Linked DNA regions of Nothobranchius furzeri. The main gene of each other region encodes a partner of the protein of the gene in region 3 in a complex. Links are inferred from orthologs where the notes say so. Each region holds a gene or a part of one and is shown on either strand. Other genes may lie near its edges. The genes, in order: sarnp, chtopa, thoc3, thoc2, thoc1 and thoc7.

Region 1 (4,399 bases), on a different chromosome or scaffold from region 3:
ACTTCATCCTGAGCTCAGCGGTAATAAATATCAGCTTAGGTTTTATATCACGCTTTCGTTTGTTCTCTGATCTGTGTTTAGTTTGTCGTCATCAATCTGACCACCGAATCAAACCCCACAGAAGCTGCTAGTGGGAGTGTTTGTGAGTGGGAGCTCCGAGTCGATGGCTGGACAAACAAATGACAATTCTACAAAGATTAGAGAAGGTGGTCAAAACAAACTAAGTAACCTGTTTCAAGGTCAGAGGTCAACCCCTATTAAATGGCTACATGAACCACAGAGTGCAGCGAAACCAGCACTGAACTTGGTGAGTGAATTGGTGTATCTGGAGTCGAAGCTGATTTGAACCCACAGTAAGTGTACTGTACACGCCATAATGGTCCACAGAAACATGCACTGCAGATGAACCCCCAAATTCCACTACCTCCGCCCCGCCCCCGCCTTCCGCAGCCGCTCGCTTCCGAACTGAATTTAAAAATTACAGTCTATGATTTAAACTGGTACCCGCTCTACAACGGCTCCCCTTCGGTGCGGAGACCTGAGGTGCGCAAACAGGCATGCGCGGGATTTTCGAGATCTTGCGATACAGTCCGAGCAATAAACGCGGAAGTTAGATCCAAACACCCGTCGTGTGGGAGAAGCATCGAAATGAACTGTTTAATCTGCCCATCACTTGTGTTGAGAGATTAGCAGTGTTTGGATCAACAAAGTGTGACTACTTTGATAGTGGAAACTGTATTTATGGCTTACTTTTGTGCATTTAAAGTTCAGCCGCCATTGATAGTTGTTAAAAGTTGTTAAACCCGTGCATATGAAACAAAAAACGCCTTTTGTTTATCGATTTATTGTGAAAAACGGAAGTTGTGCTTGCTCCTTTTCCTGTTGGGCCGTTGTGATTCCTGTCCGTTGTGTTCCGGCGTCCGGCAAAAATAGGATCGATTCTATTTTTGCCGGAACAGAGGGCGGCGCACTGCCGGAGCACGGCCGCAGTAGTGGAATTGCTCTGATTGACTACAACGGGACCGATTTTGCTGCAGAGTTCGTGGCGGAGCGGAGGTAGTGGAATTTGGGGGGAAGTGTGTTGCAGCGGTGTGTGAGAGCGTAAATCTTGTGCAAAACTAAACAGATTTGTCAAAAAATTGAAAATTTATTTTAAATCACAAAGTGTTAGAAAATGGAACAGATAAGCTGAAGTACAAGCAGCCGGTGAACCAAAAGTACAGCTAAGTACCGAACAGTCACAGGTGGGTTAGCAAGAGATCGGTTATTCTGCAGTTAACTCACTATGGCTTTAATATTGGAAATACCTAAATAAAACTAAAACAGATTTTCTTTTAATCCAAATCAAACGCTGCTCCTCAAATTTCAATTAAGATAAAAACAAATGAGCAACCAGACAGAGAACCTGCTTTCGTTCATAGATCCAGAGACGTAGGACACGACTGAGACGCTGGGAGTGTCCGTCGCATCGAACTTTGTATTTAAGTGTACTTTTGGTTTGAAACAACCCAACAAATCATTTATTCCTCAGAAATCTACGCTGCACAGCCTGGAACACAACTTCAAAAAACAAAACACCGTTTACACTTTTCCAAATCTTTCAGCACGCTTCATTTTTTTTGCCTGCAGAGAGAAAAAAAAAGACAGAATGAGAGATTTTAATCAGCACTTTTATATATTTACTCTTGTTTTGACTACTAATCAAACAATAAACATCACCTCCACATCTCCTGCTCCAACAGCCGACATTCCCGTTAGGATCCCAAATCTCTCCTTCCTCTTCATCAGCTTTTCATCCTCTACAACCTGAAAAACAAACTTATTATAACGTTCCATTATAGCGTTCTTATCCATCATAACGTGTCAAAACATTATTTATTAAAATGGTTCACATTTAACAGGAAGAGAACAAAAACAGCTTCCACCCCATCATTAAACAGACCCTCCAGTACTCTGGTGCAGCAACTATTACAGCTAATGGAACAGATATCTTCAAACTTTGTGTTTAAGTTGTTTTTTTTTCTTTACCAATCACAGATCTTTTTTACAACCATAGCCGACAGCTGACTGGGTCATAAATCAGCAGCAGATCTACAACAGTGAAAGAGAATCAAGTAGCTGCAACGCCCCAAATGTTAATTATCACACAAATAAATCAGAGGCAGAAACGTTTGTTACAGTAAATCTGTCGTTTCTGTCCTGAATGCAGATGAATTTGATTATTTTCCAACAAAAGTGGTAATCTGAATTTATTTTATATAACATGATGTTAAAAGGAAGATGTCTAGCAGGTCTACGGTCCGTACAAGGCATGTCCAGGAAGCACCTAAACCCTCTCAGCAGCTTTATTCTGGACACTTTCAGTACCTTCCAGATGAGCTGTTCCAGGGTTCTGTCAGGATTTGAAGTCTTACTCGTTGAATTCATGATAGGGAGTCTAAGTTCTGGTCGGCTCACGGGTCCCCGAAAGAACGAAAAAATGAACGCAAGTCAAAGGAGCTAAAAACGTTATTTTCTAATCCGCTTTGCCTTAAGCCCTGGATCACACGTTGTCCTGCAATTTAAATGAAAACTAACGATGTGTGTTTCGACCACGCCTGTCACGTACTTTGAGATTTATCAGCTTTAGTGATGTGTCGGTCGCCAATGAACCGGCTCTAAGAAGTGAACGACGGGAGCCGGCTCGTCATGTGGGTGTGTTTGGAGGACTTGGTCAGAAGCCGAGCACAGGCGTTCTGAACCACCTGTAGACGGTTCAGGGAGGTTCTGCTCAGACACGTGAAAAGAGAGTTACAGTAGTCTAAGCGTGAGGAGATGAAGGTGTGGAGAACTGTCTCAAGTTCAGAGCGGGACAGAATGGGACTCAGCTTAGCAACGTTCCTGAGATGGAAGAAGGAAGAGCGAACAAGAGAACTGACATGAGAATCCAGGGTGAGAGCTGGGTCAAAGGTCACGCCAAGATTCCTGACAGAAGGTTTGGTGTGGGAAGCAAGCTGACCAAGAGAGTCTCTGACTTTGGGATCCAGCTTGTCTGGGGCACAGATGAGGATCTCAGTCTTATCTTCATTCAGCTGAAGAAAGCTCCCAGCCATCCAGGCTTTGATAGAGTCTAAGCAGGTGTGTAACAGCTGCAGCTTAGACATCTCACGGGGCTTAAAGGAGATGTACAGTTGGATGCCATCTGCATAAAGATGGTAGGAGATTCCTTTGAAGGAGCTCAGGATGTGCTGAAGAGGAAGTAGATAGAGGAGGAAGAGTAAAGGCCCCAGCACAAAACCTTGTGGGACACCATGAGTAAGAGAGGTGGTGGAGGACCTAAACTTGGGAGACGGCCACAGAGAAGGAGCGCTCAGAGAGATAAGAGGAGAACCACTCCAGAGCAGATCCTGATAGGCCTCCCCAGTCTCTCAGCCTCTCCAGTAGCCGGTGATGGTCAACAGTGTCAAAGGCTGCAGTCAGGTCCAGCAGGACCAGAACAGAACAGTCCCCTGCATGAGCAACACAACCCTTCTGATGCATTTGTTTGCTCTTCTTTCTTGGGTAAAAAATGCAACGTTTATGTTTTATCTTTACAAATAACAAAAGCCTGAACGTGTTCTGCCATGTTGTAGAGTTACGAATGCTAATGGTTAGCTTTAGTCAAAAAGTGCTCTGCTCTCTCTCCTGGCTGCAAAATAATCACATAAAAATAAGAATCCCTCCCTGGTTCCAAGCCAAGGTAGGCGGGGCCATGAATGCTAATTTTCCCAGTGACCTAGAAGAGAACGTCCTTTTCTGACCCGATTGTTTCCCCGTCTGCGGCTAATGCAGGCGATGCGGGCTGAAGAACATTTTTTCTATTCAGCCTGCATGTGAAGTGAGTGACCGTATTTAAAAACAAACACTTCACGTTTTCTCAGTGAACCAGGCATTTAAGGTGGCCAAGCAACTACATTCGTTTGATCTACCTCAAGATCAAAAGACAAACAGCTGACGTGTTTCTGAAGAGACCAGACAACAAACCAAACCCCAGACCGATGGAGATCCAGCTCAGGTGTAGAGCAACACTAAAGCAGCGCGGCTCACCAACCTTTTGTGAAACAGATGAAACGTTCATGCCGAATCTTTCTGCTCTCTTCTTCAGCTGATCGAGGTTCACCTAAAGAGGACATAAATTAATCGTTAAACCCATCAGGACTCCACCAGCCGGGGATCTAAAGATCCATCTGCTCGTCAGGACTTACTGCAGCTTTACTGTTGGCAACAGCCCCTGTAGGAGTGCAGGGAGAGAAAACATCAGCAAACCTCATCACCTACAGCAGGATCACGTTATTCTTTTACTGGTTATTAACTCTGCTTCTAGCATTTATGAACACAGCCGGGTCAGTACCTGGAGAGGGACTGGTAGCATCAGTAGGTA
Region 2 (4,556 bases), on a different chromosome or scaffold from region 3:
ATGTTGGTGAGCTGGTGTAAATTGTAGCTTATTTTTCCTATTTGTAGTGGAGGTGAGTGGTACCCGGTGGGGTCTTCTGCTGTTGTAGCCCGCCTCAAGTTTGTGCGTGTTGTGGCTTCACAAATGCTTTACTGCATTCCTCAGTTGTAACGAGTGGTTATTTCAGTCAAAGTTGCTCTTCTATCATGCCATGTTGTTGTTTTTATAAAACACAGAAATGGTTTTGTTACCTGTTATTGACGCTACATGTCAGGCTGACCTGAAGAAGCCGGCAGCAGTCGGCGAAACTGTAGCATCAATAACAGGTAACAAAACAATTTCTGTGTTTTATAAAAGAACAACAACATGGAATTAGAAATAACGCACAGCAAGAACACACCTAAGATGCTCTTCGATCAGCTTGAATCAGTCGGCCCATTCTCCTCTGACCTCTAGCATTAACAAGGCATTATCGCCCACAGGACTGCCGATTACTGGATGTTTTTCCCTTTTCACACCATTCTTTGTAAACCCTAGAAATGGTTGTGGGTGAAAATCCCAGTAACTGAGCAGATTGTGAAATACTCAGACCGACCCGTCTGGCACCAAAAACCATGCCACGCTCAGAATTGCTTAAACCACTTTTCTTTCCTATTCTGACCTTCAGTTAAGAGTTCAGGAGATTATCTTGACCAGGACCACACCCCTAAATGCACTGAAGCAACTGCCATGGGATTGGTTGATTAGATAATTGCATTAAGTTAAACAGGTGTTCCTAATAATCCTTTAGGTATGTGCGCACACACACATGGTTCACAGGATGTAGTATAGAGAAGTTTGTAGGTCTTAGGTTTGAACGTCCAACCTTCTAACTGGTGACGTTTTCCCAGTGAGACACAGCCATGGAAACCATGTCCCTGTGGGCACCAATCGCAGAACAAAAGCTAAGATCACACCAGGACATCTGCTTTTCTACATGCTCCAGAACACCTACAGGCCTTAAATGTTTGACATGAATCAGAAAATATCTCATTCATCATTTTATTTCCTTAACACAACTTGGGAAATAATTTTAAAACAAACATCTTGTCAGCTTCACGGAATACAAACAACCCAAAGCCTGAGCACTTCTTTCCCTGTCAAATATAAGAGAAAATGACTCGTCTTAAAATTCTTGTAAAATTATCATTTTAAAAAACGTTTCCACTGCAAGTTTAAGATGAGCCAAAGAAACTCTGGAGGTTTGAGGAAAAACTAAGAAAAACTAAACAGTTTACACCAAACACCTGTTTGACTAAAACTTCATACAGGAAGTCCGTGGACATCAGGGTCAAAGTCCCCTTGAGTTTATTCATCAGCTGATTGGCTCTTCAGCAGCAGGTGGATGCACGGCTAAACAACAGGGTGCAGCAACACCACTTGACGCTACGCCCCAGTCTTCAGCTCTGGTCTCGCTGGGCCGTCACTCCATGCTGTCGGGATCTGCCTGGGCCATGTAGGCATCCAGTTCTGCATCCAAGTGTCCCTTGGTCTTTGACATGTACGCATCCAACTGATTGTCCAGTTGTTCCCTTGTAACGGTGGGCCGGCCAAGTCCTCTGCCCCGCCCACGGCCGCGGCCCCCACGACCAGCAAATCCCCCACGTCCACGAAGTCCACCACGGCCTGAAGACAGAACATCATCAGTGAGACAGTGAAAAAAAAAAAGACACGAGTCATCAAACGATTGTACTAATAAATACAAACTCTACCCCGGCCTCTGGGCATTCCACCTCGACCTCCTCCTCGAGACAGAACTCCTCCTCTTCCTGCCACTCCTCCACGATGCCGACCTCCTCTACGCATGGGGAAGCGTCCGATGCCCCCCCGACCTCTCATAGGTCCACCTGTAGGCATTCGCCTGGCTGTTTAACACAATGTGATTGCTCAGCTGAGAGGAAACACCCCTACCATCTCCACGCTGACGGACACCTACCCCTCAGAGAAGACAGACCCCCACGAATGATCCCTCCTCTCAAACCCCCTCTGAGGCCTCCTCTGGTCATCCCCCGCATGCCTCCTCTTCCTCCAGGAGGTCCACCCCGCATCAGAGGCCCAATGGGCCGGCCCAGCCGGGCCTGGATGTTGCCTTTCCCCAGACGTTGCTTTAGGCTCTGGTGGTTCAGAAGGATCGGTCACAGCAACAAATCAGGAACACAAATAAAGCGAAGCAAGAGTAGGTCCAGCTTGTTATCCCAGCTTTCCATCAGACGCGCGAGCGTCACAAAATGTCCACAAAGCGTAGTACGTAGCACTTAGCTTCTATTATATTTACCTGTAAAACCTCTGTGACTGAGGTAAACAGTAAGTACACCACAGACCTGCTAGGATACCGTTACCATCTTTCTCCATGCTTGTTATCACGTGAACCGCTGAAATCATGCTTGATCTAGCGTTTTCCTGTGATTTTGTAACGTTGTGGGTCCAGCTGTGACACATTCACTGCCGCTTCATGTCAGAAAATCTCCCGGTGAGACGATATGCACCGCTGAGCTCGTGAGGAACCGCGTCACTTATGCATCCAGTGGAAAGCTCAGGTTAAGCCGGGTGTACACTGTGCGACTTTTTCACTTTTTTGAGCCGATTTTCCACTCGTGCGAGAATCCACGAGATCGGGGCGAGTTTTGCGCTGAGCGTCGTGTACAGGGGGCTACGAGAGGCGATTAACACCACGTGACCAGCTACCGATCAGCAATCGTGAGCTCGCACAGACTTCTGGCGTGTTTAATATTTTGCTCGTCCCTCGTGAGGGTATCGCACTGTTGAAGCGGCGCTGCGAGCAGCTGCGACCCAAAAAGTACCAGAACCGCTCACGGCACATGCATGCATCAACACCGCTCGCCCGCTATTTCCCTAATAACACACGTTGTTCGTTTTTATTTTCTACACTTTTTTTACTCACAAAGGTTGTCAAGAAAGCGTGTTTGTCGTGTTCATGTCAAATTAAACTGATCACAAAACACAGATTTACTTTCTTTATTTTGTTTTCCTCATCCAACCCCCATAAATCCCTGTGTGTCCCCCTGCAGCACTCCCGAAGGACAACAGGCAAAACAAGACAAAAAAGTCTGACGTGTTGTGTAAAAACTGCTATTTTTAGCACATTTTTAGGGCCGACGTGTTGCTACCAGACGTACAGCGTGAGCAGTCAGATCGCATCCGAGAACTGGGTCGTGCAGTGTGAGCGCACGACTCGTGAGATCTGCTCTGTGAGGAAGTCGTACAGTTTGAGCTGAAGCTGAGTGCTACGAGTGAAAAAGTCGCACAGTGTCCGCCCGGCTTAAGGGTACAACAAGACTATTTGGACATCTCACCCCTGATTGGCTAACAGCAACACAACTCTACCACTAACCTTGTTTGATTTGCATCATTGATGTTTTACCTCCATAAATGAATGAGTTCTACTGTATAGAGTAGCAGCTAATGCTAACAGTTAGCTTCTATTAGCCAAGGCAAGCTCTAGTCTCTCCTGAATGCTAAACCAACAACTGCCTTCCCCATCTTGAGCCAAGATGGCCGAGTCCATGAATGTTAACTTACTGTGAGGTAGATCTGACTGGCTTTGCTAACCTGAGAATTTCCTCGTCTGTTTTCTATCGGCTAATGCAGGAAAAAGGGGTAGAAGACTATTCACATATTCAGCCTGCATGTGAAACTCAGAGTGACCAATCATTTAAAAAAATAACACATAAAAATGGTTTCTCAGTGAACTTGTTCTTTAAACCTTTTATCAGCTATAAAGCAGCTCGTTTCGATTTGATCGTTGTCTCACTCCCATTTCTTTTTTGTTGCACATTGAAGCTCTACTTGGGACCTTGTTAATGACCAACCAAACAAACACGACGTTTGGCCATTTTCAAATGGTCTTAAACTTTTGATCAGGACTGTACTTCCCAAACAGCAAATGCATCTTCTGTCAGGCTTGGGTTTGGTTTCAATGATAATTCACTGATAAAACCAGAACAGAATCTTTCTGACTTGAGAACCCATCAGACCTTTGCTAACTTGTGCCCTTTTCCCTACTGAACACAGCTTTAAGCCTGATTTATGCTTCTCCGTCTGCGTCAGTGCGGAGACACGCAACGCCATTATCCGTCCTTGCGTAGGGATCCGGCAGGCACGCAAGTCCGTACGGAGTCGAGCCCACTTTTTTAAACATCCGTCGAACGAGACGGATTACGCAAGCCTGTGATTGGTCAGGACGCCGCTGTTGTTTACAGCGCCGCCATTGCAAAGAGAGCCGAGGATAACTAGCGGCAGACACGAAGAAGCTTGAAGAACACCTCGCGAAAAAACTCTAAAAATATGAACGTTTAATTCTCCCGTGACTGGAGGAGTGAAAAGATGCGCAGCAAGAGTTTTATTTGTGGACGGAAATGACAGGAAACGTGGGTTTAGAGGTGGGGAGCGCATGAAGCGGTGGGAGAATGAGAGACAAATAAGTCTGTGTTAAAAGTCTCTTATATACACAAAAAACACAAAATAAACACACGATCTTGGACCGATACATGACAGGATACCACAGAACAGCGCTACGC
Region 3 (4,893 bases):
TTCTCCCGCTACGTTTTCCCCTGATTTTAATAGAAGTTTGTATTTTAGGTACAAGAGAAAACCAGGGAATTTATTAAGCTTAGGGCGGAGATGGACCACATGTTCACTGGAGCAAAGTATTCGGCGGCTGTGGCATGGAGGTACAATAACATCTCATATTTTAAGTTTAGTTTTTTCTGCGAAAACACGAATGTAATAACCCATTGTCCTCTTTTCTATATCTTTTCTCTTCCTGTTTTTTTTTCTTACATGTTTGTTAAGACTATTCTGGAGAAAATGGGCATCCAGGGGAAGGTGACAGCGATGACCAGCTTCTGGAGCTGATCAGGGAGGACATGAGGCTGCAGAGCAGCAGAGGGCACAGGAGAGAAGAGAGAACTTTTACAGGCTTTTTACTTTGATAGAAAAAATGGTTAAGAAAGATTAAACATGTACATATAAAAGAAACATCTAAATAAAATCAGTTCTGTATTAAACACTTGAATTTTATTTTTGTTTACAAATGTGAATTGTTTAATATTAAAGGGTATCCGCTGGGTCTTGAAAAGTCTTAAAAGGTGATAAATCGGTTTTGGTCAAATTAAGACCCTTAAAAAGTATTAAAAACTATTATCACATCTTTGCTCAGGCTCAGCTTGTCGAAAGTATTTTCTCTGAATTAGCTCTCCAACAGTCAAGGAAATTATTAAAAAGCTAAATAAAATTTCGAGCTCCTTCCTTCTCCCTTCTGCTCAGCGGTTCCACGGTTGCTAGGCGACAGAATGTTCGTGAGGGAGTGGCTGGAATTCATGAAGTCTAGGCTTGTCCAAATTCACAGCCGTTAACATCCGGTCTACTCAGCCGACGGAGGACCCAGCCCAAGTCGGCCGAGTAGGCTGGGTCTTTCGAAGGATGCAGACCCTGAATTGAGACACAGCGGATGTGTGTGTCTAGTTGTCGTCTCCGCCCTTTTGGTCTGCCAGGCAACAGCATTTGTTGCATTTTTCATACATGAAGTGGGGGTGGAGGAGTCTGGCAGGGGGTGACTTGCTCTTTAAGAAAAACAACACCTAATTAATTACATTTTATTTTTCAAATTTTTAGGTCTTTAAGGCTTTTTAATCATAACCAATTAGAAAACTCTCAAGGCCCAGAATAAGCATAGATAAAAAGTCTGTTCTAATAGCCATCAGGTTTAAATAACTAAGATAATGTTATTACTGTTTATTGTTGTTTTGAGGGTCATTATATCAATGTTTCAAAGTGTTTTGTTCCGTACAATTTAAAGTAAAAAACAATCATCTGCCGAAATTAAGCATTCCAGTTTGAATACAGGAAAAACATTGGCCGTTTATCAGTACTCAGGTATGCTAGTATGTTCTTGTGTACTAGTCAAGTATGTTGTTGGCAAGGACACAAAAGTCTGTTCTACCGAGTACAGGAGGATGAGGACGTCAATTGGAACATAGCCGTACTCCGTTGTTTCCTCGCAACAAGCGCTGCTTCTTGCTATTGAAGGTGAGCTCAAGTCGCCATTGTTCTGCAGCCAGGTCCTCTTGGAATTACGACCCTGTTTGCTTTGCTTTCCATACATTCTAACTAAACACATCCGAGTCAACAGGCGTCGCTCGCGCGCTCTCCACTCAGCTTCAACATCGAGTTCTCAATCCAAGATGGCGTCTCAGTACTACCGGGAGATGCAGGACAACTTCAAAAACAACAATAAAAGTCGGGAGTTCCAGGCTCATTCAGCGAAAGTTCACTCGGTGGCCTGGAGCTGTGACGGCAGGAGACTGGCTTCCGGTTCGTTTGATAAAACTGCCAGCGTGTTTGTCCTGGAAAAGGACCGTTTGGTGAGTTCCGGTTGTTTCAATGATGTAGCGCGCCAGCAATGACGGCGCTCTGGGTCTTGGCGTGACCTGCTGGCTACCGTCATGGTGCGTTGGGTTGTGACTTGTGATTATTTTGTGGCTCAAAATAAGCCGGAGAGTCGCTTCGCAGTCGGATCTCCTGCGTTGCGGGGGACACTGGGCGACCCTATTGTGAGATTCGTTGAAGGGTGGACAGTCGCGATTCAGGTGTTGTTCTTGGAAGGAGGAGTTCTGTGGTTGCTACCCGGTAGCTGTCTCCGTGTTTTTTGGTAGGTAGACGTGTTCGAGACAGTGGATGATGTTCTTCTGCGGTTCCGCGCGCATTTTTCTGGGTGTAATGGGGGTTACTGTATTCAGTCTGGTCGTGTTGTTTAGTGTGTTTGTGGCAGCCTCTTGGGCGTCTAGCCTGCATCACCAAAGACAAAGCTAGCTGCTGTGTGTATTTGCTACGGCTAACATTAGAATTTTAACTGTTTTCCACACCGGTCTAATCCCATCATTAACAGTTACAACAGAGTAGATAACTGGTCGTTTAATAAACGGAATGGGTTTACTGAGTTAAGTCATTTTAATATGAAATGCCTCTTCGCTGTAAGAAACCAGGAGAATGAGATTCAGGCTGCATTAGAAGACTGTCACCCTTTGGCACATTGCCATTGAGTTAAATACAACTACTGATGACTTCTATAGCGTTTTTTTATATCCTGCTTAATGTGGCTAAATATGTTCAGGACAAAGTTATAAAACTAAACTTCATGCATAAAAGATGCAAGACTGAATCTGCATTTTAAACAAAACATTTTAACAAAGTAACTGAGTTTATTCAGTTAGATTTTTTTCCCACCAGGTGAAAGAAAACAACTACAGAGGACACAGTGATAGTGTGGATCAGCTGTGCTGGCATCCAACCAACCCTGACCTTTTTGTCACAGCATCTGGAGATAAAACCATTCGCATATGGGATGTACGCACCACTAAATGCATCGCCACAGTCAACACGAAAGGTAGGGTGATCACACCTGTTGGAGCTGAAATCTGACCCAGCAGTGCTTTGAACAGATAGACGGTCACATCTTCAACCAGCACTGGTCTGGGTTCTATATTTCTGCTGTTGCTTTTCCTCTCACTTTTGAACAGTTTAGGGTGAAGCTTACAGCTTTTTGTTTTTGTAGTTTGGGGGGGGGGGGGGGGGGGCAGTAATATTTATTAATGTGTTACAAAAGGATCCACAGACATCAGGACTAGTTTTCCCTGTAATTGTTGTTTTTTAACTACAAAGTTATTTTAAAGTACAAATGTACATCTTTTAACATGTAACTACATAATGAAAGGCGGCTGGGTAAATAATTGACTGGAACAATGCATTGTCTGATATTTTCTTATTTCCTCAGTAATCGTTTATCAACCCAGCTTGTGCAAACCCAACCAATCTCAACAGGTTTTTTGATCAGATGGAAGAAGAAAAAAACACGTCAAACAAAAATATTCTGTCTAGTATTAATTTCTGCAGATTTACACAAAACCCAAACATGCTGAGCTCTGGTTAAAAACTTAAACAGCTGCAACATTTAGGCCGTCTTATTGTTTTAAAGAAAAATATGAGGAGGAAAAGCTTTACTTGAACTAGTTTTAAAATACAGTTTGAGAAAATAGCTTGGAGCCAGAAACTGAAACCGAAAAAATTAAATGTTTTCCAGTTTATTTTGGGTGATGACATTTAGAGGCCGACTGATATATTAAACTTTTTCTATATCAGCCATCGGCCGAAATTATTTATAAAAGCTGATAAAAAAATACAATAAAATCAGGCCAACTGCCCCTATTACTAGGATGAAGATAGGACTCAAAGGACCCCAACACACCGTTTTTTAATGTTTTGAGTTTGTTTTATATTACAACTTCAATAAATAATTAAGAGATTCATTTACTTTATGCTGCACACAGTGAGTGTTCAGTTGTCTTTCACAATCAATGTGCTGCTAAAACATTTATATATTAGCTTTAATAATTGGCTTTAGATATCAGCCATTGGCAACAAAATCCTTTAAAAATCTGTATCAGCAACAGCCTTAAAAAACATGTCGGTCAGCCTCTCATTAAAGTACTTTGATACCATGGGTCGTCATTTGTACTAGAAATAGAGAAATTAAATGTTTTTGTCTTATTCTAGCAGTTGAAATTATGTTGTTCAAAAATAATGTGTTTTTTTTTTATTGTTTATTTTGACTTTAGGAGAGAACATCAACATCTGCTGGAGTCCCGACGGTCAGACCATTGCTGTTGGGAACAAAGACGATGTGGTGACTTTCATCGACGCCAAGACGCATCGCTCCAGGGCGGAGGAGCAGTTCAAGTTCGAGGTGAACGAGATCTCCTGGAACAACGACAATGACATGTTCTTCCTCACAAACGGCAGTGGCTGCATCAATATTCTGAGGTAGGATCCAAATGAAGTACCGTATTTTCACGACTATAGGGCGCACTGTGTTATAGGGCGCAGCTTCAGTTACGGGTGTCTTTTTGGTATTTAACACATACAAAAGGTGCACCGGGTTATAGGGTGCAGGCGCGGCACGTAAAACGTACCGGTAAAACATCTGTGCGGGCTCGGGACTCGAAACATATCAGTGCAAACCAGACATTGTGAAAATTATAAACAGCCAAAAGCATGCTTCACTTTACTGTTCTAGTCCTGGTTTAGACCTGGTTTAGAGCGCACGTGCACTTCCTCATTGCGTGCGCTGACGGCTCGTGCTCTTCTAATGGGCTCGACACACGGGAGGCAACTTCGCCTCTCCTCCACTCATTTTCAATGAGACATGCGCGACAAAGCGATAATCGCGGGTCTCCCTCCTACTAAAGCCGGGCGTACACCGGGAGTGCTGCAGGAGGCCACACAGGGATTTATGGGGTTGGATGAGGAAAACGAAATAAAGAAAGTAAATCTGTGTTTTGTGATCAGTTTAATTTGACATGAACACGACAAACACGCTTTCTTGACAATCTTTGTGAGTAAAAAAACGTGTAGAAATAAAACGAACAG
Region 4 (4,844 bases), on a different chromosome or scaffold from region 3:
TGGATTTCTGAAAAACGCTGAGGGACAGTTAATAGAAGACTGCTATCCCGTTTGCAGAACGTGCAGGAAACAAGTGTCTGCAGAAGGCAGCAACACTTCGAATCTAATGGCACATCTGCGTGACCATCACCCACGTCTCTACAGCCAGTGCAAGGTAAGTTAACATTAGCATTTTAGCTTAAATGCATGACGTGAGGTCTTTTGGTTGAGGGAGAATGCAACGAGTCACTATAGACTGCAGCCGCAGCGCCCTCTGCCAGCATTTAAACCGTGTCACGGACACCCTGTTGCTGGATGAAGCATCTTATTTGTTGATGATGAAGAGAAATATACAATTAGTTCCTTGTCATTGATTTGTTTACTTATTCAATGCCATTTATACTTGAACATTTGGATTTGATTACATAGTGTAGTAGTTATTTTAGTAATTTGTTTAAAGTTGCTATTTATTTTAAATACATATTTTTTTTAAGGTTGACTTGTACAGTGCTCAAGTCAAGTGTGGACTGGAGTTTTAGATTTTCATTTTGATAATGAAGAAAACAAGTATATGAGAAAACAAGTGGTGTTTATTTGATTTGTTGACATATTGTTTATGTTTCGAATGTTTGGATTTGTATAATTTAAACCTGCACTGACTACTGTAACATGTTCCAGAAAAATAAGCTATTTGTTCTTTACTTGTGAAAAGTTGCACTTTTGCTAAGGCTTTGTGTTATTTTAGGTTTAATAAACACTGTTAAACCTTTTCAGAACTATTTCAGTTTGTGTAGAACAGGACTATCAATGCTTTCTGAACATATGCAACACCGTTTAAAAAATACCGCGATAATACCAAAAACCGTGATAATTTTGGTCACAATAACCGTGAGGTTAAATTTTCATACCGTGACAACCCTAATTTTAACAGTCAACGGTTAACTCCTAGCTTCATGTTAGCTCAGTTAGCTCATAGCTATATCGGTTCAGAGATTGATGGGTGTCAATTATTTGCTCCCACCCTCACAGCTACACACTCAGCTCCAGCTCTTTGCCCATGTTTTTTTTTTTTTTTTTGCATTTGGTGGTGGTGACAAAACAAGTTAAACGGCCAAGATGGCAGTGTGGGAACTGCCCATTTTGTTTCAAACAAGCCCTTAAGAAAAATATAGGTGACATCACAGATGGTTAATTCTTTTTTTTTAAGTCATTGGAATGAACACCAAGCAGCTAAGTAAAAACTGTTACAAAGTGCCTACCCCTGGGAAGAAGGGTGTCAAAATAAATTTTAATTTTTAGTTATGTTGGTTTATAAGAGGGAAACTTTTACCACAGCTTGTCTATGAAGTGGTGTGTTGGTTCTACGTAATGTTTCTACGTTTTCACACAAAAATCAAGCTCTGCTTACCTTTGATTTCACTTCCATGTTCACTTTTCTCTGTGAGCTTTTTGCAGAGTTGTACACTACAAAGTAAAAAAAAAGAGACAAAAATATAGTTACTATGTCTGTTACCTTATATATGGCAATAAAAAGCTGTTTTGCAGCCTAATAAATAAACTTCTAAAAAGGAAGACTACACAAACACACAGAGATCTGTTTAATATAACAAAAAATCCTTTAGTTTCTGCCTTTAATACACCGCCAACCTCTAATAATATATATTCAGTCAAGAAAGGTGAATGAAAAATAGAAGTGCTTAGGTTTTGGGCATATGTGTAATTCAGCTAAGCAGTATAAACCTGTGTACACAGAGGTTTCTTATGTAGTTATTTGATGTTGCTCTAGATTGACTGTAACTTGATGTGAAAGCATTTTTAAATGTTGTAATAACAAGTCAAATATCAGCTTTCCATATAAATTGGTGAGTGGGTAATTGTATTTTTCTTTCAAACACTTTTAACAAAGATAAATGTGATGTTTTATTTCAAAATGAATCATAGCAAACACTATTACACTGGGTGAAGAATGACTGAACAAAATAAAGTCTCCATTATAATACATTTAACAAAACAAAACAAAGTAACTTAGTGATATGTAGTTTCTATGCCAGCTTGTTGATTCTTTGGTTCCTTTAAACCAGTTTTGCTTGAGTCCAAAAATGTTGGTCTTGTCTTACAGATGATCACCAGAACAATGTGATATTACATCTGACCAAATTAATATCAATCTGTTTTATTCAATCGCCTTAACTATATATTATTAACCAGAAGCTACTCAATTTCATTTCTCTGTATAACTCAATTTAATTTCTCTGTAAGTCTTGCACATGTGGTAGAATTGACAATAAAACTGACTTTGACTTTGACAGACACAACCATCATAGTAGTTTGGTAGGTCTAGTGCTTCTAGGCCTGTCTCGATGCAAGGCCTATAGTAACTAGCAGCCAGGAATGTGTGGATCAGCTTACGGTGTGACTGGATATGCTTAATGCTTCTGCTTAATAAAACACATTCAAACACTATTCACGGTTTTTTTTTAGGTAATATCACAGGTCAAACTTTATTATTGAGGCCCAGATGTTGGCCTGGTCTTTACTCAGTCTCCGACGCTAACGCAGACGTTTAATCGATCAGAAATACAAAGTTTGATAAAATCCGATCATCAAACATTGCATCTTTTCATTCCCACGTCCAGTCCAAATACAGAACATTTAACACGTCGCTTCACCCAAAAAAAATCTGCGGCTAACATTACGGCTAACTAGCTGTTACGATCCGTTGTTTCCCTCCACATGATTGGGTCAAAGTTATAAAACATAAAACTATTTTATTGTTTTCAAACCACTCGTGGGTTTGCTATTGCATGGTACCTGAGCGTTAATACGAAGTTTTATCAAGTTTGTAGCTGAAAAAGATCCAAATAACAGATAGATTTTTTACTAGCTTAGCTTCGATAGCCACCGTGTTTACAAATCTAGCCAGACCATTAATATGTAGATAGATAATAACAAGCCAGTTAATGTTAAATGTTACGAATTTTGTAATATGCGTTTGACTAATTACACGCCTAGTAACATTTTTTATTTTTGTTTACTCGACAGTGATAAGCCTCTTGAGCTGTTCGCTAACGTTACTTTGTGCTAGCCATGATTTTAAAGTAAGCTTATTGTTTTTATGTTGCTGCAACCCCTAAACAAACTAAGCACAACATAAAATCTACTTACAACTCGTGTTTTCCCAATTTTTCCCAGTTTTTGATCCATTCACCAGGGAGGGTAAAAGACGCCATCTTCAATATACTCTGCCTGGTGTTGTGCCAAAAAAATTCACCCGTATCGTGAAAAGGACCCAAACAAGGGAAAAACATCACAATCAGTTTCAATCACAAATACATTTATAAGAAGTCACAAACGGGTTAGTGTTGTTTTTCTGCGATTAACAGAACAGTTAACTTACGTTATTTATTTTGCTATTTTTATAAAAGGCTTTAAAATCTCCTGGTCAGAAAAATAACTACCACGAAACACTCTTTTACGTGTATATCGCAGTTATTTTCAAAATAAAAATGTTTTTCATAACAGCAGTGAAAACCAGGAGCCAGTTCATCACTGCTGACCTCAAGTAAAGTTAGTGAATGAAGTGGTTTTCTACGTTTCTTGCTACGGCCATGCTTTCTACAGCAGGGGTGCTTTTTTCGGCACAACACCTAAAGTGTGGTTCATCGTTGTGATGGCACACAGGTTCAAATGTGATGTTAGCTGCCGCTGTTGCTAGCTCGGTGCTACTCGTTGGGATTGTTCAGAGCTGTGTCCACACGAGTTTCCTAAATGGTTTACTATTGCCAGTCATTATTGTTTTATGCTTAAAGTTTAAAAAGGTCAATTTGAAGCGTTTTCTACAAAAACTACTACTTCTGCAAGCAAGAGGGGAAAATGAATGTGTTACTAGCATTTGGCATTTTACAAGATGTGAAAGTGTGTTTTTAAATGACAACATTTTTCTACCTGTCAAAGTCACAAGCTTCAGAGGGTTTATTTGGTTATGTTACATCTTCAGACATAAATACAAATCTTCAAGGATGCAATGGGCACTTTGTAAATAGAAGAGAAACACAAAAAAATTTTAAAATATGTATAAACACAGATGTATGCACGTTTTCAGCAGTTTGGTGAAAACAAAGATCCAAAGTGACTTGAGTAAACATTTGCAGGCATCTAAGATGCATAATTAGTCTAATTTGCCGTACAAGAATACTTTACAGTACTGTAGTAACGTTTATGACCATGTTGGGATTTTCTTTACAGTGACATTTGGAGAAAATTAGGGTTCTGTTATAGCTACAACATGAACATCACCTTCTATAGTCTGAATTATTAGCCAACTAAGGCAGTACACAAAAGAAATTCTAATAAAAATTACAACAATCCAACAAAAACAAGCTACAGTGGATGCATACTTTCAAATTAGTGGGTTAATGTTAAGGTAACATTCAGCTTTTTACTCAACTTATAAAATAATCACCCATTCATAATATATTACACGCTTAATATTTTATAATGAACAATTCTGAGACACAGATAACCAAATGAGTTTGGAATCGAACATGAATCAGTGGGGAAACATTTTCATATAAATCCTATGCAAAACTGAAAAAACAACTTAATTAACCATTTTCAAACCATTTTTTTTAAATAAAAATGTGAACATGGTATGGTTGTGTTACTATTTTAATATACAAAGAGCAATATACTAGAGACAGAGTTTTATGTATGGCATTGTAAATGCTTCCAACAATAAAATATTTTTAGATGCACACTGATTAGTCATGTGACTCTATTTGAGTAATGCATTACCTTTGCACCCATTAATAATAGAAGAAAATAAAAACAGATGACCGCATCTGTAGTAACACCATTCCGTTTTC
Region 5 (5,041 bases), on a different chromosome or scaffold from region 3:
TTTCCAGGCATTCCAGTTTTCCTCCGTGCTGAGCATGTGCTACGACAAATGAGACTTAAATGTAAACAAAACAGAAGCTAAATGTGAAAAAAAATAAAAAATAAAAAATACATCAGTATTTCTGTAGAACTGCTTACCTCAACCATGGTGGCAAACTTATCTCCATCAGGGGGAGTTTCTCTGAGGAGCTGCAAGAACAGATAAGTTACAAGTTGTTCTCTCAGTGGTTCACAGTGTTAATAAGAATAATAGTTTTATGAGGTATAAAAAAACTGTGATGTAAATGGAAATTGTCACAAAACCTCAGAAGAAGAACGGACAGATTTTTTTCGCAACAGACACGTTTTCTCCTGATTTCTGGTCCTACGTGTCTGAACTGACCTGAAACACCAGCTTAGTCGTCTCCTCAATCCATGTAGTCTGGTCATCATTCAGAGCACAGCTTGAGCTGTGTCAAGAAATCAAAAAGCATAAACATGAACTAATTCCATCCCAACAAGTGATATTTGTTTAGTTGCACAAATGTTCACCTTTTGAATTTGACCTGACCCTTCAAGTACTGGAACAGGATCAGGTACTGCACCAGTATGTGTCTCCGGAAGTTGCTGTCGCTGAGCTGCAAGTCCATCAGCTGCAGATTACAAAAAAAAAAAAAATCCCAAAACAATGAAGTTTAACTTTTAAGACAGAAAAACATATGACTTACAGCCATAGTCAGTTAAAAACTGCTTATTTATACATGATTAAAAGATTTTTAATGATTTTTCTGCACCTTTTCGCTCGTGAGAAACTTGGCAAAGTAAACCTGTTCACCATCAGACGCTCGCAGCTCCTCCAACTTCCTCTTTGACGCCTGCATGTCATCCAGTTTGTAGCTTTTGAACACAGCAAGAGTCTCATCGGAGTACTGAGCAAAGCAAAAGCAACACACAAGTTTATTTATTTTTTTATCCTCATCTTGGATATTGACAGTGATCCGTCAAATTGGTCAGAGTTGCTGCACCGAGGTGGATTACCTTAACAAAAGTAATCCATGAGATTTTTTCATAGCACTGCAACGGATTTCTAAAGTAGTCCTGCAATGTCCAGAACTTTCTGTACAGGTTGTAGTCAATCGGAATAGAACTAAGGAACAAAAGGGTACTATTATTTCATGAAGGTGAAAATGTGAGCAAATACAGCAAATGGTTTTCATTCACCACGGTGCCGGGGCGTCATCCTCCCCCATTTCTCCTTCCTCCACTTCCATGCCGTCTTCCTTTTCATCAGCGTGCTGTCAACATAGTAGCAAAAAAACAGATGAAACAGGATGGAAAGGATGAGCTCATTAACCTAATAATTAACCTAACAATACTTCACCTTCTGACCAAGAGTGCTTTCTTGTTCATTTTTATTGAACACGGTTATGTTGTCCAGATTAAACTGGCTTTGTAGATTGAGACCTGGATTAAAACACACACAAAATCTATTTAATTGAGAGGTTTACAATATGATTGTAAAGTGCTTTGATTTTTTTCCCCTTCAAGTTAGAAAAATAACTGACTTTCTTACCGGATTTTTCAGACAGAGGAAAGAGACGTGCCAGGAAAAGCTGGATTCTCCCACAGAATACTGTATTCTGGGATTTCGACAGCCTCCTTAAAAGATCTGTACAGATGAAACAAAAGTCACTTGCACCTGAACTTTCTGAGAATAGAAAGTCTTTTGGATGACAGAGAAAAAGACAAGATTTTTACCGTTACACATTCTCAACAAATAGTTCTTTCCTGCTGTGTAAAAAGAGCTCTGGAAGAAAGAAACAACACAGGTACAATAATGAAACCTTCTAACAAAAACAGAGAAATATTTTTGTTGCCTTTACAAAAAAAAATGCCTGTAATTATACCGATTTCCAGGTAGAGACATTTTCTTCAACAAAAGAGAATATTTTGTCACACAAGTCAAGGGGAAGGCAATCCAGAACGTCTCCCAGCAGGACAAAAGGAGTCGTAGCAGAACAGATACCTGCATTAAAAACAGAATAAATGTTACACTGTCATTTGTTTTAAGAGACGTTTTACCAAAACTTATATCAAAGCGATCCTTTCAACATGTATGTTTAAAATCCAAAATCATCTAATCTAAAATAAATATCCACCTCAGCAGTAGTGATAACATACCCTCAGTAACAGCATTGATGCTCTGGTAGATTAGAGACAGATAGTCATCACAGCATGATTTCTGCTCAAGCTAGAGAGAAACAATCATTAGCGATTCTCACATATTTTCAAATTTAAATTAACTAACTTATTAAACTTACAATCTGGTCACCAAGAACACTCCTCAAAGCCTGATCCAGTGTGGTCTTCTTTTCCGTCTCACTGACAAAAACACACAAGTAGTAAATTTGTATTTCTGGATTATTTTGATCTGGAACCTCGACCCAGGAGCACAACTTACTTGCCGGGGAGTTGGTTAAACACGGCGATTAGGGGTTTGCAGGTTTTACCAGCTAGTGCTTGTGTGCTTGCAGCCTACGGTTGGGTGAGCATGGGAAAGGACATAATGAGAAACAAAAGACGATGCAGAAGTTTGCTTCCGTTTTCAAGCTTCCGATTCGGGAAATGGCTAAGGCCAAGGCCACTCTCAATTTTTATATACGGTGACCATCTTTAATCTGCTTCATCTTAAAAACTACAATACCTAGACAGTTCAAACCTGGACGGGATTATTCTAGACTAATAGCAAATTCCATAAAACAGTTTGTGATTTGTGAAACTTCAAAATCTGCCTATTTTAAGTTTCACAAATCTGAAAAAGGTTTCACAAATCACAAACTATGCTTTATGGAATCTGCTATTAGTCTAGAATATTCCAGTCCCGGTTTGAACTGTCTAGGCATTGTAGTTTTTTTAAATAGAGCAGATTAAAGATGGTCATAGTAAATAAAATTGAGTGCAAATGCTCTTTAGCCAATTTCCAAATCGGAAGCTAACTTCAACCTCGTAAACAACAGGACCGTTCAGAAGCGTTTACTTTAGCTTAGCTTCTTTGGCTAACTACTACACTAGTACAACAAGCACAACCATAAAGTAGTGAAGTTAAGATTTTTTACGGTTTTATCAACAAGTTGTCTTACATACAAATATATTATGGATGGAAATGACAGAAAGAAGCCACTTCTCACCGAAAATTTCTCTTTAGCGTCGACAAAATTAAATGAGGACAGAGACATCTTTACGCTTCTGAAACCGGAACCGCCAACGAATCACTTCCGGTTATGAAGTGGCGTTTTTGTACGTAAAGGGAATTATCTGACAAAATTATACATTAATACATATTATCTATAAACGGAGTTAGGATAAAACTAACTTTGTATTTTTTAATTTAGTTTCAAATAGTTCAGTCAGTCACATTTTTATTTCCATTTTGGATGAAAAATGGAAATAAACCGTAGCATAGCAATCTTGACCACACGATGGCAGTGTTGTACACCATTGTTGCTGTTAAAGTTTTTCATTATTTTTTAATTTGCTTACATTCATCAAACTCTGAGTGGCTGTAAGTGATGGATGCATGGAAACCTTCTTCAAATGGTGAGTTAAAATTAGTATTTCTACTTCCTGAAAATAACAGTATTAATATTTATTTTAATCCTAATTTCCCCACTGTATGGTTTAGTTTGCCTTTTGGCCAGGACTCACTTAAAAAAATCTTACACTTGATTTTTATTTTAAAGAGTCATGTTCCAAACTTTCTTTATAATAATAATTACAACAACAACAACAACAACAATAATAATAATAATAATAATAAGTTGTGTCAGCCATTGAATACTTGTAAAATAACGTCACTCTGTTTATATTGTATGCATTTCAAAGTTATATTTATTTTAACGGAAAGAGCGAAATAATTTTTGTCCTTTCTTGTTAATAAATATTTGACTTTGACAGGTCACAATGCACAGCAGTTGTAATGTGTTTGTTTTGCATGTGTGCCTGTCTTGGTGTGCACTTCCACATGTTCTAATCATGCAAATGAACATTCAGCTATGTGCTGCAGGCCTTGAATCCTTTGATACCATCTGCTTGTCTAACAATGTCCGATTTGACATTAGAATAACCGCTCCATTACCCTGAGACAACAATCATTAAACTAAAGATTTACTCAACCCATGTGAGAACACTGAAGCTTGTTTTGATCCAGGTCAAGACCTCTAGGATTTACATACAAGGATGATCCTTTTCAGCTCCTTTTGATGGGTGTTTGTAACCTTTTTGTGACAGTGTTTTGGTGGCTGTGCTGATGTTAAGAGAAGAACAATGACTTTGTGAAGTGGAGGCGTTTAGTGTCACATGGAAGCAGGAGAGGCTCTATTTCCTTCACGTGTGTGGTTGTAGTGTTCATGAAAAAGGGAAGTGAGGAGTGATTTACTAATACCTATTTTCTCCCATCCCTTATCTTACTCAGAGTTCATCAGATTGTTGCCAAAAACTGATGAAGAGCAGAAAGGGAGTAAGCACGATGAGAAACTTGGAGATTGTGCTGGGAGGCACTCTTAAAAGTGATTTGTGCGTGGTTTGAGGTTGTGATTAGGGCAAGAAGATTGAGAAATCTTCTACATTCTACCTAAAATGGGTGATTTAATTAATTAATTAAATAATTTATTTATTTTGTTCAATTAAACTTCCCTAGATAATTTGTTCAGCTTTTATGCAACGAGTTTTCAAAAATATACCTCCAATTGCACCAAAAAGTAAAATGAACAAATATATTTAGGTTGCATGCTGAGGCTTAGTTCCATGTTTGCGAGGCACGCTCATCCCGCTGTCCGTGCCTGTAACTTCTACAACCTTTGACATAGTTTTGATAAGACACTGGTCCATATAGTCTAACTTTGTGGAAAAGATAAGACGGTCAGACTAGAAAAGGAATGAAATAGGGAAAAATATTTGATTGAGCTGCCATGGAGCAAAGATTGAAGAGGTCCTTCGCCCATGTTTGTAATACATTTGCAGTGGTCTATTGTAGGAACAAATGCCTTGTAAGTTGTACTCTGGGG
Region 6 (4,651 bases), on a different chromosome or scaffold from region 3:
AGATTGCTAGCATGCGCCTGGCAGACCAGATCCCGCTGGTGATCCGCTACCAGATGCTGCAGGAGTCTGCCACTGAGCTGCAGAGAGAGATGCTCCAGGATAAGGAGAACATGGAGCTCTTGCTGAAGGAGGACTTTGACATTGGCAGTAAACGAGCAGCTTTGCAGAGTTGACTAAAGCACATCCTGCAGGCCCAAGCGTACCTGGTAGAGTTCTAGACCTTAAATCCCTTTTCTGTTGTAGCATGCATGATGTTGTTCTAGACTTTATGGTTCGGTTAAAACAATTTACAGGGGTTTGCAACAAAGTACATAGTGATCATTCACATAGGAAGTCAGAGGCTTTCTTTCATTGTGGTTTATTTACTACATCAGTAAATTTTGGCATTCATTTTTAAATAAATGAGCAAAACCATAATTCTTGTTACAGACGTCTTATTCTCAGAAGAATGTAATTTTGTGAACTTTAAATCAGAAACTATTTGATAGTTTGGTATGAAAAAATGATAATTTAGTATGAAAAAAATGATAATTGGGTTTAATGACACTTAGATTTTACAAGTATTCAAACTCTCACTTATAGTGCAGAAACTTCCAGAGAAAATACAGCACATATGAATGTTCAACAACTGTTCTGTCCTTGACTGACGCGTATTAAATTTCTTTTCTGATCAGAGTTTCAGTTGATTTTCTTAAAAGCCTGGAAGCTTTGGTTACATTTTTACTGAGATTATTTTAATGAAAAGAGAATATAAGAATTAAAGATATACTCCAAGATGACAGCTTTATTCAAAAATACATACAAAAAAGGATTCTTAGACAAACTAAATTTCAATTAAAAGCTGTGACTCCTTCAGTTGGGCTCTTTATGTGTTCAATCCCCATTCTCCATGGGACTCTCCTGACTGTGGTCGTCACTATCTGACTTTTCATCATCTAGGAAAGACAGGATAGACGATGAGGGCAGCTCTGACAACAGTTTGTCTGTATAACCAAGTGGCTACTTACTTTCTAGTGTCTGCTGCAGCTCCTGAATGGTAGTAAGAAGAACATGAAACTGCTTCTTCCTCAACTCCAACTAAAGAGAATGCAAACATGGCATAAAAAGTCAGTAAAAATACAACTAAATCTGATACTTTAACAACATTAGGCCGCTGTGTTTGAGTTTACCTTTGCATCTACGTTCTCTTTGATGTGAGACAGTTGCTGGAGTTCTTTATCGAGTGCCTCCAACTGCCTGGAAGGTAAAACAAAAATGAGCACTTTATTGAACATGAAGGGGAGCTTGACATGTTTTATCGATAGGCTGACTTACTGGAGTGTTTCATGTCTGTCTGGGTGTTGCTGGATTACCTTTGCTAAAGCATCATATTCTTTGGAGAGACAGAGAACAGATACTTAAAAAAAAGTTTACATCCTTTTGACAACGCACATTTGATACCACATCTGGTAATTTTTCTGTAAATACAACAGATGTTAAAATGTCCTTACCCTGGCGATTTTTTCGTATTCTCTTGGCACGCAGAATTTCTTTTTTGCATTCTGTGATCTTCTCATGTGCAGATGTGATGTTTTGTTCTGCGAGGTGCGAAAGAAAAAAGTTTGATTAGTGTTAATTGGGCGATGGTGGCACAGGAGTTAAGTGCTCGCCCCATAATCAGAAGGGTGCAGGTTCGAGCCCCGCTCAGTTGTAGCTACGATGTAGCTCATCACCACCAGTGTGTGAATGTGTGTGTAAATGTCTGATTGTGTTGTGTTGTAAAACGCCGTGGGGGGTTCCAGGACTAGAAAGCTCTATAAAATACAGGCCATTTGGCATGTATGACTAAAAGAATTAACAAAAAATTCTGTGACATTGAAAACAAAGCCGATCTTACCTATGTTTGCGTAGATCTTCTCATAATTCTCCATTTCACGAAGATTCATGTCATAAACCATCAACGTCTTTCCCATAGAAAACTCACACTGAGCCAGAGTAGCCACCATCCTCTGGTACTGAGTGAATCTACACACAAAGAGCCCAATGTTCAGCATTTCACTGCAGTTGTGTACTCGGCATTCAAGATGTTACAAGCAAAAACTGGAGACAGATATATTGCTAGCTCGTACCCTTCTTCTAGGGTCCCAGAAGGTGAGTTGCACCACTTGGTGAAGCTCTTCAGCAGCAGATTGATTCGGCGGTCATCTCCAGCTCCGTCACCGTCAATGAGAAGACGTTTTCGAATCACCTCATCTGTGGAACATGCAATAAAGCAGCTGAAGAGCGTTGAAAACATAATGCATCTATGCTAAGTGTGCTAGCTAACGTCGCTATTACAGGTAGCATTTCTGGGTATTTTTCCAGATAATAAGGCGCAATTTACAATGTTTTAAACTTAGACGAAAACAAAAGTAAAGAGTAACTTAAGTGCTGAAATTAGTTAATGATAAAGCCACAAACCATCAGTTACAGCTCCCATGTTGCTGTTTTTCTTCTTCTACTACTTCCGTTCTACTGGTACTGATTGATCTTTTGTCTTTAGGCAACTCAGACACAGCTGAGCTCGTTACTGCCTTATCTGGTAAGAGGACGTTACTGCATGTTGTGATCTTTTCGCTTCATCTTCGTTAAATAATGTGGATTTTAAGTATACAGTGATTACAGTGATTATGTGACACAGAGATTTAGTTTAAATGCAATTTAGTAATACCACTAGGTTTTTTTATCACACAATCAATTACAAATTACACAATCAAGTGATGAAATTGAATTACGGTAGAATACATTTTTCAAAGGCAAAATGAATGCTGTAATCACTTTTTGCTGTGTAAAAAAACGCCTCAATTATGTATGAGCAAAGCCCTGCTCATAAAAACAGCATATGTTGTGTTTGGTGCTGGTTTAGTGGTAGATCAGCATACAATGCTGGTCTAGCAAGATGGTTCAGCATCCAGTCACCAGCTTCCCATACTGGACAGGCATTGTACACATCTTTTAACACAAAACCCTAAACTTTTGCAGCTGTTCAAAAATAAGCACTTTCTTGACATCAAAACGTGTCTTTAAAATTCACAGACATATATGTGAAATATATGGCACATATCAAATAGGATTAGATTAGGATTAGAAAATAGCCTCTCCCTGGGCTGCCACCTTAGCGTGGTGGAGGGGTTTGAGTGCCTCAATGATCCTAGGAGCTAAGTTGTCTGAGGCTTTCTGCCTCTGGTAGGGTCACCCACGGCAAACAGGTCCTAGGTGAGGGATCAGACAAAGAGCAGCCCGAAGACCTCGTATGATGAATTATATAAATGGAAAACGTGTTGCCTCACCCGGACGTGGGTCACCGGGGTCCCCCTCTGGAGCCAGGCCTGGAGGTAGGGCACATTGGTGAGTGCCTGGTGGCTGGGCTTTCACCCACTGAGCCCGGCCGGGCACAGCCCGAAGAGGAAACGTGGGTCCCCCTTCCCATGGGCTCACCACTCGTGGGAGGGGCCAAAGGGGTCGGGTGCAGTGTGTGATGGGTGGTAGTTGAGGGCGGGGACCTTGACGGTCTGATCCTCGGCTACAGAAGCTGGCTCTTGGCACATGGAATGTCACCTCTCTGGTGGGGAAGGAGCCTGAGTTCGTGTGTGAGGTTGAGAGGTTCCAACTAGATATATTCGACTCACCTCAACGCATGGCTCTGGCTCTGGAACCAGTTTCCTTGAGAGGGGTTGGACTTTCTACCACTCTGGAGTTGCTCCCACTGAGAGGCGCCGAGCAGGGGTGCGCATACTAGTTGCCCCCCATCTTGGTGCCTGTACTTTGGAGTTTTCCCCAGTGAATGAGAGGGTAGCCTCCCTCCGCCTATGTGTGGGGGGACGGGTTCCGACTGTGGTCTGTGCTTATGCACCAAACTACAGTTCAGACTACCCACCCTTTTTGGAGACCTTGGAGAGGGTGCTAGAAAGCGCTCTTTGCAGTGACTCCCTCATTCTGCTGGGGGACTTTAACGCTCACATGGGCAATGACAGTGAGAACTGGAGAGGTGTGGTTGGGAGGAACAGCCCCCCTGATCTAAATTTGAGTGGTGTTTTGTTATTGGACTTCTGTGCCAGTCATGGATTGTCCATGATGAACACCATGTTCAGACATAAAGGTGTCCATATGTGCTCTTGGCACCAGTATACCTTAGGCCGCAGCTCGATGATCGACTTTGTTGTTGTTTCATCTGACCTGCGGCCTCATGTCTTGGACACTCGGGTGAAGAGAGGGGCGGAGCTGTCAACTGACCACTACCTGGTGGTGAGTTGGCTCAGATGGTGGGGGAGGATGCCGGTCAGACCAGGCAGGCACAAACATATCGCGAGGGTCTGCTGGGAACGTCTGGCGGAGTCTCCTGTCAGAAGGAGCTTTAAGTCCCACCTCCGAAAGAACTTCCAAAATGTTCCGGGGGAGGCGAGGGACATTGATTCTGAATGGACCCTGGGCCTCCATTGTTGAGGCGGCTGACCAGAGCTGTGGTCGCAGGATCGTCGTTGCCTGTCGTGGTGACAACCCCCAAACCGGCTGGTGGAGACCAGCGGTTAGGGATGCTGTCAAGCTGAAAAAAGAGTCTTATCAGGTCTTTTTGGCCTGTGGGACTCCAGAGGCAGCTGACAAGTACCAGCAGTCCAAGCGGAACTTAGGTGGT

Evidence for each region.
Region 1: thoc3 (region 3) and sarnp share a complex: the UniProt entries of both Homo sapiens proteins name them as parts of the transcription/export (TREX) complex. The link is inferred for Nothobranchius furzeri from reciprocal best matches to the Homo sapiens genes THOC3 and SARNP.
Region 2: thoc3 (region 3) and chtopa share a complex: the UniProt entries of both Homo sapiens proteins name them as parts of the transcription/export (TREX) complex. The link is inferred for Nothobranchius furzeri from reciprocal best matches to the Homo sapiens genes THOC3 and CHTOP.
Region 4: the proteins of thoc3 (region 3) and thoc2 are in contact, whole or in part, in a cryo-EM structure (PDB 7ZNL), measured with the Homo sapiens proteins. The link is inferred for Nothobranchius furzeri from reciprocal best matches to the Homo sapiens genes THOC3 and THOC2. Residues at the interface, in NP_115737.1 of Homo sapiens: Asp193, Met196, Ile208, Val217, Gln218, Asn221, Ala222, Pro224, Ser225, Ala244, Asp245, Ala246, Leu247, Ser249, Trp251, Asp252, Asp254, Glu255, Leu256, Val257, Cys258, Val259, Cys261, Ser263, Leu265, Asp266, Pro268; in NP_001075019.1 of Homo sapiens: Tyr395, Arg396, Pro401, Lys402, Gly403, Ala404, Lys405, Gly406, Ser407, Pro446, Ile447, Ala450, Arg454, Cys500, Asn501, Ala502, Cys503, Met504, Glu506, Pro563, Arg566, Gln567, Lys570, His573, Tyr603, Leu604, Thr605.
Region 5: thoc3 (region 3) and thoc1 share a complex: the UniProt entries of both Homo sapiens proteins name them as parts of the transcription/export (TREX) complex. The link is inferred for Nothobranchius furzeri from reciprocal best matches to the Homo sapiens genes THOC3 and THOC1.
Region 6: thoc3 (region 3) and thoc7 share a complex: the UniProt entries of both Homo sapiens proteins name them as parts of the transcription/export (TREX) complex. The link is inferred for Nothobranchius furzeri from reciprocal best matches to the Homo sapiens genes THOC3 and THOC7.

The regions. Positions count from the first base shown.
Region 1 is NC_091755.1:36,676,707-36,681,105, reverse strand, and holds the end of sarnp (SAP domain-containing ribonucleoprotein), read right to left. Parts: coding exon 4,370-4,399; intron 4,250-4,369; coding exon 4,224-4,249; intron 4,139-4,223; coding exon 4,070-4,138; intron 1,807-4,069; coding exon 1,720-1,806; intron 1,624-1,719; coding exon 1,582-1,623; 3' UTR 1,128-1,581; downstream 1-1,127. UniProt on the Homo sapiens protein: Binds both single-stranded and double-stranded DNA with higher affinity for the single-stranded form. Specifically binds to scaffold/matrix attachment region DNA. Also binds single-stranded RNA. Enhances RNA unwinding activity of DDX39A.
Region 2 is NC_091751.1:23,238,420-23,242,975, forward strand, and holds the end of chtopa (chromatin target of PRMT1a), read right to left. Parts: intron 2,133-4,556; coding exon 1,955-2,132; intron 1,884-1,954; coding exon 1,731-1,883; intron 1,645-1,730; coding exon 1,442-1,644; 3' UTR 1,007-1,441; downstream 1-1,006. UniProt on the Homo sapiens protein: Plays an important role in the ligand-dependent activation of estrogen receptor target genes. May play a role in the silencing of fetal globin genes.
Region 3 is NC_091741.1:68,371,503-68,376,395, forward strand, and holds the start of thoc3 (THO complex subunit 3), read left to right. Parts: upstream 1-1,577; 5' UTR 1,578-1,652; coding exon 1,653-1,832; intron 1,833-2,697; coding exon 2,698-2,854; intron 2,855-4,082; coding exon 4,083-4,287; intron 4,288-4,893. UniProt on the Homo sapiens protein: Component of the THO subcomplex of the TREX complex which is thought to couple mRNA transcription, processing and nuclear export, and which specifically associates with spliced mRNA and not with unspliced pre-mRNA.
Region 4 is NC_091750.1:48,346,597-48,351,440, reverse strand, and holds the start of thoc2 (THO complex subunit 2), read right to left. Parts: upstream 3,278-4,844; 5' UTR 3,210-3,277; coding exon 3,145-3,209; intron 1,444-3,144; coding exon 1,388-1,443; intron 1-1,387. UniProt on the Homo sapiens protein: Component of the THO subcomplex of the TREX complex which is thought to couple mRNA transcription, processing and nuclear export, and which specifically associates with spliced mRNA and not with unspliced pre-mRNA.
Region 5 is NC_091751.1:49,147,495-49,152,535, forward strand, and holds the start of thoc1 (THO complex subunit 1), read right to left. Parts: upstream 3,264-5,041; 5' UTR 3,215-3,263; coding exon 3,167-3,214; intron 2,514-3,166; coding exon 2,440-2,513; intron 2,361-2,439; coding exon 2,300-2,360; intron 2,230-2,299; coding exon 2,160-2,229; intron 2,005-2,159; coding exon 1,886-2,004; intron 1,786-1,885; coding exon 1,737-1,785; intron 1,648-1,736; coding exon 1,552-1,647; intron 1,443-1,551; coding exon 1,360-1,442; intron 1,274-1,359; coding exon 1,200-1,273; intron 1,126-1,199; coding exon 1,017-1,125; intron 908-1,016; coding exon 773-907; intron 632-772; coding exon 531-631; intron 449-530; coding exon 382-448; intron 189-381; coding exon 138-188; intron 40-137; coding exon 1-39. UniProt on the Homo sapiens protein: Component of the THO subcomplex of the TREX complex which is thought to couple mRNA transcription, processing and nuclear export, and which specifically associates with spliced mRNA and not with unspliced pre-mRNA.
Region 6 is NC_091743.1:56,272,478-56,277,128, forward strand, and holds thoc7 (THO complex subunit 7 homolog), read right to left. Parts: upstream 2,546-4,651; 5' UTR 2,459-2,545; coding exon 2,440-2,458; intron 2,233-2,439; coding exon 2,109-2,232; intron 2,005-2,108; coding exon 1,877-2,004; exon of another isoform or gene 1,578-1,876; coding exon 1,491-1,577; exon of another isoform or gene 1,373-1,490; coding exon 1,315-1,372; exon of another isoform or gene 1,237-1,314; coding exon 1,170-1,236; exon of another isoform or gene 1,078-1,169; coding exon 1,008-1,077; exon of another isoform or gene 936-1,007; coding exon 874-935; 3' UTR 770-873; downstream 1-769. UniProt on the Homo sapiens protein: Component of the THO subcomplex of the TREX complex which is thought to couple mRNA transcription, processing and nuclear export, and which specifically associates with spliced mRNA and not with unspliced pre-mRNA.